Linked DNA regions of Mus musculus: all the other regions are reported to be linked to region 1. Evidence: microRNA targets listed by miRTarBase, many of them from high-throughput screens and not tested one by one. Region 1 holds a microRNA gene; each other region holds the end of a gene's coding sequence.
What was found. Region 1 holds the annotated microRNA mmu-miR-3472 (UAAUAGCCAGAAGCUGGAAGGAACC, at 1,960-1,984, shown strand). A microRNA usually pairs through its seed, bases 2 to 8, with sites in the 3' UTR of a target mRNA and lowers its output. Matches are read on the target gene's strand: a 7mer-m8 pairs with bases 2 to 8, a 7mer-A1 pairs with bases 2 to 7 and ends in A, and an 8mer does both.

Region 1 (4,068 bases):
TGCTGTTCTTGGTGATCACCCCATGGCACTGGCATTTCCAACACACTGGGGTGTTCCACTCCAACTAGGCTTCACCAATAGCCTCTCATAGGCTCTCTTCATGGTGCCAAGCCTCAAATCCTTTGCATGACCCCTTCAGTCCTGGGCCTTCAACTACAGCTGAGGCTACATCTTTTCCAATGGCTTTCCATGACCTCTCACAGTGCCAAGCCTCACCTTTTCTTCATGACACCTTCATGCCTTCAAAACCAGTACCACCTGGGTGACTCTTAATCATTACCAAGTCCAACCGCAGAATGAGGTGCAACCTTGGCTATCTCTGGAATACAGCTTATTTGTGCTCCCAGAAAACAATTCCCAGACGCTTTCATCTCATTGATGCTGGTCTCAATTATTGCTAATTTCTTAGCTCCAGCTAACCAGCATCAATTATCCCAGTAGTTCCTTTCATTCTTAATTCTAGGGCCAGAGTCACATGGCTGAAGCTGCCGAGTTTTGCTGCTTGCAAGAACTAGAACATGACCCACTTGTACTAGTACATTATCACTGGCTTTATGTTTTCCAAATCCTTCACTACCTAAGCTTGTTTGATCTGGATCTTGCTCTGTAGATAGACCTTGAATGCAGAGATCAGCATGCCTCTCTCCTGGGATTAAAGGTGTACACCACCATGCCTGGATCTAAATTTAGCTGGGTAGAATTTTGCCCCAAACTCCTACTACCTTAATGTGTTATCTTTTAGAAGACAGAATTTTTGCTCCATTTCACTTCCTGGTACCCCTTTAATACTTGAACCATATATTTTATATTTTTCCTTTCTACGTTTGCTATGCTTGTTCAAACTTCTCTTCATAAGACATAACAAGAGAATAAAGTATCTGCTGGGCATTTTTGAAACTTCCTTTGTCAGAGCAATTAATCTGAGTCTCTTCACCTTAGTCTCAGGCAGACTTTTTCAGACAATGTAGCCACATTCTTCACCAAAATACCACAAAGACAGTCTTTTTTTGTAATTTTTTTAATTAGGTATTTTTTAATTTACATTTCAAATGATATCCTCTTTCCTAGTTTCCTCTCCAAAAATCCCCCATCCCCTCCCCCTCCCCTTGCTCCCCAACATGGTCCCATTCCTGGTCCTGAAATTCCCCTATACTGGGGCATAGAGTCTTCACAGGACCAAGGGCCTCTTCTCTCATTGATGACCAACTAGGCCATCCTCTGCTACATATAGCTAGAGCAACAAGTTCCACCATGAGTTTTCTTTGATTGGTGGTATAGTTCCAAGGAACTCTGGGGGTACTGGTTAGTTCATATTGATGTTCCTTCCATGAGGCTTCAGTCCCATTCAGCTCATGGGGTATTTCTCTAGGTCCTTCATTGGTGACCTTGTGCTCCATCCAATGGATGACTGTGAGCATCCACATCTGTATTTTCCAGACACTGGCAGAGCCTCAGAGGAGATAAGTCCTGCCAGCAGGCTCTTGTTGGCAACTGTCTAGTGTCTGGGTTTCATGGTTGTTTATGGGGTGGATCCCCAAGTGGGGCAGTCTCTGGATGGTCATTCCTTCAGGTTCTGCTCTGAACATTGTCTCTAACTTCTTCCATGAGTATTTTGTTCCCCATTCTAAGAAGGAACGAAGTATCCACACTTTGGTCTTCCTTCTTGAGTTTCATGTGTTTTGCAAACTTTATCATGTGTATTGTACATTTCTGGGATAATATTCACTTAACAAAGAGTGCATATCATGTGAGTTCTTTTGTGATTGGGTAACCTCACTGAGGATGATAACCTTCTTATACATGCATTTGCCTAAGAATTTCATAAATTCATTGTTTTTACTAGATGAGTGGTACTCCATTGTGTAAATGTACCACATTTTCTGTATCTATTCTTCTGTTGAGGGACATTTGGGTTCTTTCCAGCTTCTGGCTATTATAAATAAGGCTGCTCCTTATTTATAATAGCCAGAAGCTGGAAGGAACCCAGATGCCCCTCAACAGAGGAATGGATACAGAAAATGTGGTACATCTACACAATGGAGTACTACTCAGCTATTAAAAAGAATGAATTTATGAAATTCCTAGCCAAATGGATCGACCTGGAGGGCATCATCCTGAGTGAGGTAACACATTCACAAAGGAACTCACACAATATGTACTCACTGATAAGTGGATATTAGCCCAAAACCTAAGATACCCAAGATATAAGATACAATTTCCTAAACACATGAAACTCAAGAAAAATGAAGACTGAAGTGTGAACACTATGCCCCTCCTTAGAAGTGGGAACAAAACACCCTTGGAAGGAGTTACAGAGACAAAGTTTGGAGCTGAGATAAAAGGATGGACCATGTAGACACTAGCATATCCGGGGATCCATCCCATAATCAGCTTCCAAATGCTGACACCATTGCATACACTAGCAAGATTATGCTGAAAGGACCCTGATATAGCTGCCTCTTGTCAGAGTATGCCTGGGCCTAGCAAACATAGAAGTGGATGCTCACAGTCGGCTATTGGATGGATCACATGGCCCCCAATGAAGGAGCTAGAGAAAGTACCAAAGAAGCTAAAGGGATCTGCAACCCTATAGGTGGAACAACATTATGAACTAACCAGTACCCCGGAGCTCTTGACTCTAGCTGCATATGCATCAAAAGATGGCCTAGTCGGCCATCACTGGAAAGAGAGGCCCATTGGACACGCAAACTTTATATGCCCCAGTACAGGGGAACGCCAGGGCCATAAAAGGGTAGTGGGTGGGTAGGGGAGAGGGGGTGGGTGGCTATGGGGGACTTTTGGTATAGCATTGCAAATGTAAATGAGCGAAATACCTAATAAAAAATGGAAAAAAAAAACTAGAGAAAATAAATAAATAAATAAATAAATAAATAAGGCTGCTATAAACATAGTGGAGCCTGTGTCCATTTATAAGTTGGAACATCTTCTGGATATATGCCCAAGAGAGGTATTACTGGATCTTCCAGAAGTACAATGTCCAATTTTCTGAGGACCCCCCAAACTGATTTCCAAAGTGGTTGTACCAGCTTGTAATCCCACCAGCAATGGAGGAGTGTTCCTCTTCCTCCACATCCTGCCAGCATCTGCTGTCACCTGAATTTTTGATATTAGCCATTCTGACTGGTGTGAGGTGGAATCTCAGAGTTGTTTTGATTTGCATTTCCCTGGTGATTAAGCATGTTGAACATTTTTTTCAGGTGCTTCTCAGTCATTCATTATTCCACAGTTGAGAATTCTTTGTTTAGCTGTGCACCCCATTTTTAATAGGGTTATTTGATTTTCTGGAGTCCATCTTCTTGAGTTCTCTCTATATATATATTTGCTATTAGTCCCCAATCAGATTTAGTATTGGTAAAGATGCTTTCCCAATATGTTGGTGGCCTTTTTGTCTTCTTGACAGTGTCTTTTGCCTTACAGAAGCTTTGCAATTTTATGAGGTCCCATTTGTCAATTCTTGATCTTATAGCATAAGCCATTACTGTTCTGTTCAGGAATTTTTCCCCTGTGTCCATATCTTTGAGTCTTTTCACCACTTTCTCCTCTAAAAGTTTCAGATTCTCTGGTTTTATGTGGAGTTCCTTGGTCCACTTATACTTGAGCTTTGTACAAGTAAATAACAATGGATCAATTCTCATTCTTCTACATAAAAACTGTCAGTTGTGCCAGCACCATTTGTTGAAAATACTGTCTTTTTTTCCACTGGATGGTTTTAGCTCCCTTGTCAAAGATCAAGTGACCATAGGTATGTGGGTTCATTTCTGAGTCTTCAATTCTATTCCATTGATCTACCTGTCTGTTGCTGTACCAGTACCATGCAGTTTTTAACACAATTGCTCTGTAGTACAGCTTGAGTTCAGGCATGGTGATTCCATCAGAGGTTCTTTTATTGTTGAGAATAGTTTTTGCTATCCTAGGTTTTTTGTTATTCCAGATGAATTTGCAAATTGCCCTTTCTAACTCTGTGAAGAATTGAGTTGGAATTTTGATGGGGATTGCATTGAATCTGTAGATTGCTTTCAGCAAGATAGGCATTTTTACTATATTAAT
Region 2 (4,068 bases), not on the chromosome of region 1:
CGACCGATCGGAGCACGCCGGCCGCTCGCAGCCGCCTGCCTCCAGTCCAGACGGAAAAGGCCGAGCGCGAGGACTTCCGGCGCGCGAGGACCCCGGGGGAAGGTCCGCGGCGGGCTGTCCGCGGCGGTGCCTGCGCGGGAACGCCTGGTGCGCACGCGCAGATGGACCCAGTCTGCGCGGCTGAGACGCCAAGCTGGGGGCGGGGCGTGCACTGCAGAAGGATTTGTGCGTCATCCCGTGACCAGGGGGTCAGGGGCAGCACGTGTTTGTGGCGTGCTGAGTCAGAAGCCTCTAATCCACTGTCCTTGCTAATGAAAGACGAAGGTGGGAGCCGGCTGAGAACAGCATCTCATCTCACTGTGTCCTTCAGGAAGCCTGTGACTTGAAGTGCATGCGTTTGCTTTTTAGGTTTTTGAGACGGGCTCTCCCCTTGTAGCATAGTAGGGTCTGGAACTTGCTGTGTAGTCTGCCCTGGCCTCGAACCTGCAATCCTTTTGCCTCATCCTCTGAGCTGTGGTTTTAAAGGAAGACCTGAGCCGCCTGATCTGGCAGTATTTGCTTTGTAAATTGCGTTGTGACTGAGATTAGACACAATGATTGACTGCAAAATAATTTTATGATGTAGCCCTGGTGCGGAGAAGAAAAATGGGTTAATTCGTTCAAAAAAATTTAACCTGTAAGGAATGCAGAAGGGCAAAAAAAAAAAAAAAAAAAGTCTATGGGTGGCCCTGATTTGTGCCGTCATTAAACTGCAGTCTTGTCGTTCTCTCCCTCCTCCACAACCCCCATCAAGATTCCCAACCAGCTCGTTACTAATGCTCGAACCCACCCACCACACTTGTGGCTGGCTTTTGAAGGAAAGGCAGTCTGGTACAGCAACTGCTCCCTTCACTGAGGAAACATCGAAACCTGGGACAGTGACAAGCTATGCTGCAGTCTCTGAGAATTGGGTACAGTGATAAGAGGTAGCCGATGCAAGCCTTTCCTGCACCTCTCATTGTAAGAATGCTTTTTTTTTTCATTTATGCATATGAGTGCTCTACCTGCATGTACACCTTCGTACCAGAAAAGAGCATTAGATAGCATTACAGATGGTCGTGAGCCACCGTGTGGTCGCTGGGAATTGAACTCAGCACCTCTGGAAGAATAGCCAGTGCTCTTAACTGCTGAGCCATCTCTCTAGCCCCTTTAAGGATTTTTTGAAGCTATGTTAAGGGAGAAAAAAAGTTTACAAGAAAAAAATGTTTCATACTCATGACTAATCAGTACTTAGCCAGCACTTTTATAACAAAGCCAACTTCTATCCACTCTTGACCACTTATATACATAGTCTTGTGGCTATTAAGTATTTTATCAGATAGAACGTACCAAGAAATTACACTAAGCATCTTTAGAAAATTTCCTACAAAATACATTTTTTAATGATTTACACAATCATAGTAGCACACACATTCTAAAGGAGGAATTTCAACAGTTACACAGTACCGAATTCCAAAGTATCTAGGGCCAGTGAGATGGCTGAGTGAGTCCATGCTTTGGAAGGAGAAAACTCCAGAGTTTTCTTCTGGCCTCCACATTCACATCATACACATATTAAATAAAGTTACATCTATGCATGTATATAACCTGCTCACTCACAGGAGCTGTAAGTTGTACATAGATTATATATGCACGCACAATCTAATGTTACATCTTTATATAGTTTATGCAAAAATGCTCCAGAGTGATCAGGTAAAATTGCTGAAATTTAACTGAAAAGGTTCTAAATACTGTAAGGAAAACCAACCATAAATTATCCAGTCTTGGATACAGGAAATAGAGCTTTCTCTGCTGTAAAAGCTACACACTTTTATTTATTTTTTAATATTTATTTAATGTGAGTACACGGTAGCTGACTTCAGACACACAGCAGAAGAGTGCATCGGACAGATGGTTGTGAGCCACCATGTGGTTGCTGGGAATTGAACTCAGGACCTCTAGAAGAACAGTCAGTGCTCTTAACCACTGAGCCATCTCTCCAGCCCCACACTTTTATTTTTTACTTGTATATATGTGTGTGTAGGTTATGTTAGTGAAAAAGTGCACAAAGTCTGGGGAGACTAGAGGAGTTGGACCTAGGAGCTCAAGTTACAGACAGTTGTGAACTGCTTGACGTGGGTACTAGGAATTGAACTTAGGTACTCTGAAGAGCAGTGCATGCTCTTAACCAAGAAACCAACTCTCCAGCCTCTAGAGCTATGGGGTTTGTTTGTTTTTTGTTTAAGATTTATTTATGTGTAAGTACACTGTAGTTGTATCCAGACATTCCAGAAGAGAGCATCAGCCAGGCATGGTGGCGCACGCCTTTAATCCCAGCACTTGGGGGGCAGAGGCAGGCGGATTTCTGAGTTCAAGGTCAGCCTGGTCTGCAAAGTGAGTTCCAGGACAGCCAAGGCTATACAGAGAAACCCTGTCTCAAACAAACAAACAACAGAAGAGGGCATCAGATCTCATTACGGATGGTTGCGAGCTACTATGTGGTTGCTGAGATTTGAACTCAGGACCTTTGGAAGAGCAGTCAGTATTCTTAACTGCTGAGCCATCTCTCCAGCCCCTAGAGCTATGTTTTAAAGACCTCATTAGGTTTTCTACATGGCATTTCCCAAAGACAGAACTTTTACAACTAAAAGAGTGAAAACTTATCCTACCCTCTTGCCTACTGGACTCTGCCTGCCTGAATCAGCCTTGGCTTCCTGCTTCCCCCACTTCATCCTGGATCCAGCCCCAGCTTGGTAAGATGTGTCTGGAACTTAGGGAATGCAGCACCATGTTGTCATGTCATTCAACTTTAAAGACTGCAGTTTAATTAACATCATTTATTAGATGCTGTCTTTAAACTTTCTGGGACAGCTGTTTCATTCTGAGTGATACTAATTTAAGCATCACATTTTCCTGGAAGAGTATTTTTCTTATGAGCACCCCCCCCTCCACACACACACACACCTAATAGCCAAGGACATCATTGACCACTGTAGTCACTGGCAACGAATTAGAAGATAGTCACTCTTATCCTATCAGTCTTATTGGTTAGCAATTATTAGATATATGGGATAAGAAATGTAGATCTATACTACAATTGCAAGAGAAAGAAAAATGAGAAGTGAAGAATGTGCGTGTGTGTTTTACACAGCTCACAAGTCTTTCTTAGGGACTGTGACTATACCTGGAATCAGTATTCTCACAGTGACCATTTGAACACTTATCCTAAACACAGAGTATTAATGTTTATTATTTTTCTTTAAATACATTTCTAAGAACAAGGCTTCAAAGAAGCCTTACATATAGCATGAATTAAAAAAAAAACAAAAACAAAAACCAGACACCGTGGATGCCTCCACATTTTCTACATAATCCATAAAAAACCCAGACACTCATTGCAAGGTTTCACCACAGAAAGGAGGCAACCTCAGTTATTACTGCTGTTTTCTTGGTTTCTTCATTTGTACTTTTTTCTTTTGTCCTTTCTTTTTCTTTTTCATGAGAACTGCCTTTTCTCCAATAAATGCATTCTTGGAATGGAATTTTCCTTCTTTGGAATGGAATTTTCCTTCTTTGGAAGTAAAATTAAGTCTTTGCTTAGGTTTAATGACATCCTTCTTCAAGCTTGGATTTGAATTCTGTTGTTTTAGTTTTTCTTTATTAACAGAACGCATGACTCTCAGTTTTCTTCCCATTAGCTCAGAATTATTTAACTTCAAAGCAAGATGAACAGCATCTGTGTTCTGCAATAAGGAGAAACATTAATTTCCACCAGAAAGTGATATGCAATGAGACTAGTAGGTCAGAATTCAGTGGTCTATGTCAGTCTTCAAGCTTGTACACACAAGTCCTTCTAGTCTATGCCCTAGAGGTCAGATCCAAGGGTTTGGTCAGCCTTGCTTGAACCCCTTGTTGCTCATGTTCCACTCACGGCTACAGGTGGCGCTCAAGCTGCTTCACTAAATGCTCATAATCACCACCACAGGTTCACTGTTCATCATATGATGTCTCTTTAAAACAGTAATCAGCTCAAAACACAACTTTCTTAAA
Region 3 (4,068 bases), not on the chromosome of region 1:
TACTGAATGGTGCCCATGATGCCACTGGCTTGGGAAAAGATTGAGCTTTGTTCTTACTATTATAAAGGATTATTAACAACACTTCTGTTCAGCCCCTCCCCTGCCAGAGACTTCCTTGTGTATGGTAAAGCTAAAATAAATTCACACAAAAAAAGAAATCTAAAATTAAATATTTAATTAGAACTCTGATTTGCTTTAAAGATAGGTGGCATTACACAGGTTATGTTACACTCTCTTTATAATTTTTTTTGACAAAAAGATACTGTTCATTTTAACAGGCCGCCTTAATATTAATACATGTCGAATAGGATTGGAACCGAAAATCAGCTAGAGAGGGTAATGTTACATTATCGGGAAAATTACAGTTTTGTATTGTAAAAACATTTATTTTTTTTAACAATTTACCTACATTAATCAAAAAATTACAGCATATTTAATAATTTTACAAATTCTTCATAAAAAATATATCTCTGTACAAAAAGGTCTTCCGCACCTACGTTGTGACAGCAGCGTGTGGTGGGGACGGGAGGGTGGGGCAGCGAGAATGGATGGTTTTCCTGATCATAATGCCAGCTTTCTTTTCTCCCTTTTTTTTTTATAATAGCTTTTGTTGTTGTTGTTATTGTTTACAAAATATTTTACAGAAGAAAAAAATTATTGCAGCTAGCCTGAAGGCAAGATGGGCAAAGACAAGCGACAGTTGAACAGCTTCAAAGCACAAAATCTGTCACTCATAGCGTGTCTCCTCACTGTGCTCTGGGCGCTTCAGGGAAGAGTCGAGACCTCACTGAGGAAGGTGTTCCTGACTGTCCTGCTAGGTCTTCAATGCCTCTGAGACCTGGTGAAACACCACACACACACACACACACACACACACACACACACACACACACATCCTAGGAAGAATTGAGCTAGGCTCTCAACTGAGTGCTGCTCAATATTGTATGTTGGTTTTGAATACCACGATGCAGTCTGGTAGCTGTAAGTCAGTTTGCACACAAAGGAAAACGACACTGGTCTAACGATGTGGCTCCTTGCATGTATGTATGCCCTGTCTGAGTCAAGTCTTCTTAATGTAACTGGCCAGCAAAGAGGCCAGGGATGTGGGGACAGAGACGTTAGTTTAGACTCCAAAGTCAGCATTTTGCACCTAGTCTGAGTGACTCAAACTTAGATATGTACAATATATATATAAATATATATATGTTTGTGTGTGTGTTTTTATATACATCTAATATATATAGTAACCCTGTTCTCCCTTACGCACTCTGGTCTGTGGACCCTCTGACGCTCTCTGTTTTGTTTTGGCTCTATGTGTGGTTAGAAGCACACTCTTGTTGACATCATCTGAATTTCCCAGGGAGCCAATGAAGAACCTCTGTGGACCCAGAGGAATCCCATGGATGTGTGTTGGCTTGGCTGAAGGAACCTATATCAAAACTCCTTCCTAGGACATGGAGTCCTGAAATATGAATCCCAGTGGATAGAGTGTTGACAGAAGTCAGGAGTCCTGACACAACAGACAGCCCTTGCAAGAAGAGAGGGCTGGAAGGAGGAAGCCCAGCGGGGCCTCTGGAATGCTCAGAATGCTGAACTTCCAAAGCTGTAAGCCAATATTTCTTTATCCATTGTCCTCTGGGAAGTCCTGCATTTAAACATCATGTAGATAGACAGATCCACCTGTCTTAAAGCTAGGCATGAATGTAGTCACCAGCAAACAGAACGTCAGCATGGCATCCTGACCCATGTATCAGTGCAAATCTGGGATGTGCAAACGGGGGGATTTTTACCACATGGACTGTGCATGAAACGTCAAATAATAAAATAAGCATTATATTTCCAAAAATACTTTTATCAAACAAATATAAATAAAAATAAACATGATCTTCTCTTTGAATTTCTTACAGACATTTCTCTGGCCCTGCCTTGTCTTCAGGCTGTTTATTTTATCCCTGTTGGCCATACCACCTATCTTATATATATCATAATAGATAGTCTATCAGTAAGGAATTTTAACGTTTCAAAAATCACTCTAATGATTTTTTTTTGCAAGAAGGCAAATAATCTATAAAACAGATCATCATGAGGGTGTGCGAGTGGCGCCTGCCCTTCCGATTCTGATTTGAACTTTGATTTCCCTTTTGATTCCTCTGAGCTTGGGTGTGGCTGTGAGATAAGACTCTCAATGCATTCTGGGAGGGTGATGTTACAGAACAGAGAAAGGAAACAATTCAGAAGGGAAGACTACACTGTGAACTGAGTTCATGAGCTACCTAAAATAAATTACTATTCACACTGTACATGGAAAATGGACATTGCTGGAGCCCCCTGTTATTGATTAGTAATGTATAGACAATAGTTGTATACACATGAAGGGGGGAAGTCAAGGGGACTATGTGGTTTCATTTCTACCACCAGAAGTGGGCAATGGATTTGACACATAAGTGTGGCCAACAGAAGTGATAATATAACTTCTTCAGCATACTGTCTTATTTTCAAAATCTGTGCTGTATCTGGGATACTTCCCTTTACATTCCAACTTAATTGATGGTGGCATCTGTTGCTTGAGAATACAATATGAGAAAATGCTTATGTACAATGTATAATGAATACAAACCCTGTGGAAATTGTTTAGAAATCAGACTTAGTTGTTCTTAACACACTAGTGCAAAATGTTGAGCATCAAGAATCCTGGATGGAACAGCTCTGACTGTGGGATCTGCAAACATCCCTAGTAGTTGATGGATGCCCAATGGAGCCTGAAGATCCACAGAGCTCATGTCTCAGGCAGGGTGGAGTGAAGCGAGTGTACGTGTGTGCATTTTCCAGAAGACGTCTTCTCCAGGAAGGTTTTTCTTTTGTAAAGAATTCGTGTCCAGGGAATAGGGTTAAAAAGAAAAGAAAAACACAAAACACATATCAAGTTGCTACCATTTTGTCGCCGCACCTGAAGGATGTATCCATATGCTCAGAAGACTACATCCAAAGGCATCCTGGCCACACAGAGACACAAAAGTCAGAGGCATTAAGTACCACCTGTCTGTAAGACTACAGTCTTCCTTGCCCTCGCCGTTGTCGGTGTCTTGATGTCTGGTGGAGGCAGCAGCCAGGCTTTTATAATCCACTTTCCAGATGAAGATGTATTTGCAATTTGATCCTCAGAAGACTCGGTCATGGTTGAGAAGAAATTCCCACTGCGTTATGCCAGCAGACGATGGCCAAGGTTGCTGCAGCAAGGCAAGAGTAGAAGGGGGGTGGTATATGGCACCAAAGGATTTTACTGCTTGTCCATCAGAGGTATGGCTATGAATCGGTCCTAGGGGGCACTGAGGGCTATACCACTGTACACACTGTGTTCAGAGTCGTGTCAAACCTCACAGCCTTGGCCTCTGTGGGTTTTAAGTTTGTATCATACATGGGGTTTTCAAATGAAGCTTGTCCATTACTGTTTTCATGGCCAGCATAGCCATTATATTGAACTTTTGGTCTTGTTCTAAAGAGAAAAGAGAGAACATAATCAGATTCTAACTGCAATGACATAGCCTCCACCCAGTCTCCATGCATTCTCAGCAGAAAATATTCGTGTAAGGTTATGGGGAGGAGAGGGCATAGTAGCTACTTCACTATGTGTTGACTCTTTAAAAATTGCTGTTTGAGATTATAAACAGAATATAAATAAAGTTGGAAATCATTTTCCATATCAATAAAATAAAATAAAATAAAATAAAATAAAATAAAAATAAATCTCTCTATGCATTGAAGGAAAGTTTGGGGAACTCTGAAGATATTAGAGGCAGCACGCAGGGAGATATTCGGTCTGGAAAGCCATCTATTGCCAGTAAGCGGCAAGGACTTGGGGAAGCCACTACAGGCTTTATGGGGTGAAATCAGTGCTCAGCCCATGTGTGTGCGTGGGGCAGGCAGCACTTCAAAGCCATTTCAATTTCTAATACGTTCATCTCTACTAGCAGAATTCACTAAATGATGATTACTTTTACAATGCAGTTTTTCATCCCCTGATGGGTCAGAATCAGCCACCTTGTTTAGCTGGAGGAATGGCTTGGCAGT

Region 2: the mRNA of Rbm34 is a reported target of mmu-miR-3472. Seed matches in the 3' UTR shown: 8mer at 2,984-2,991.
Region 3: the mRNA of Csmd1 is a reported target of mmu-miR-3472. Seed matches in the 3' UTR shown: 7mer-A1 at 599-605.

The regions. Positions count from the first base shown.
Region 1 is chrX:145,037,431-145,041,498 of GRCm38, forward strand. Mir3472 (microRNA 3472) reads left to right here and starts at 1,914; the gene lies at 1,914-1,984. All of the region lies in intron 2 of Rtl4 (retrotransposon Gag like 4), which reads left to right.
Region 2 is chr8:126,945,783-126,949,850 of GRCm38, forward strand. It overlaps Rbm34 (RNA binding motif protein 34), which reads right to left. Exons shown (of 11, transcript NM_172762.3): 11 at 1,390-3,761. The coding sequence ends at 3,453. It overlaps Tomm20 (translocase of outer mitochondrial membrane 20), which reads right to left and starts at 139. Exons shown (of 5, transcript NM_024214.2): 1 at 1-139.
Region 3 is chr8:15,892,384-15,896,451 of GRCm38, forward strand. It overlaps Csmd1 (CUB and Sushi multiple domains 1), which reads right to left. Exons shown (of 70, transcript NM_053171.2): 70 at 162-3,493. The coding sequence ends at 3,334. Among named protein-coding and RNA genes, the nearest start is that of Gm46073, 39 kb to the right of the region's middle.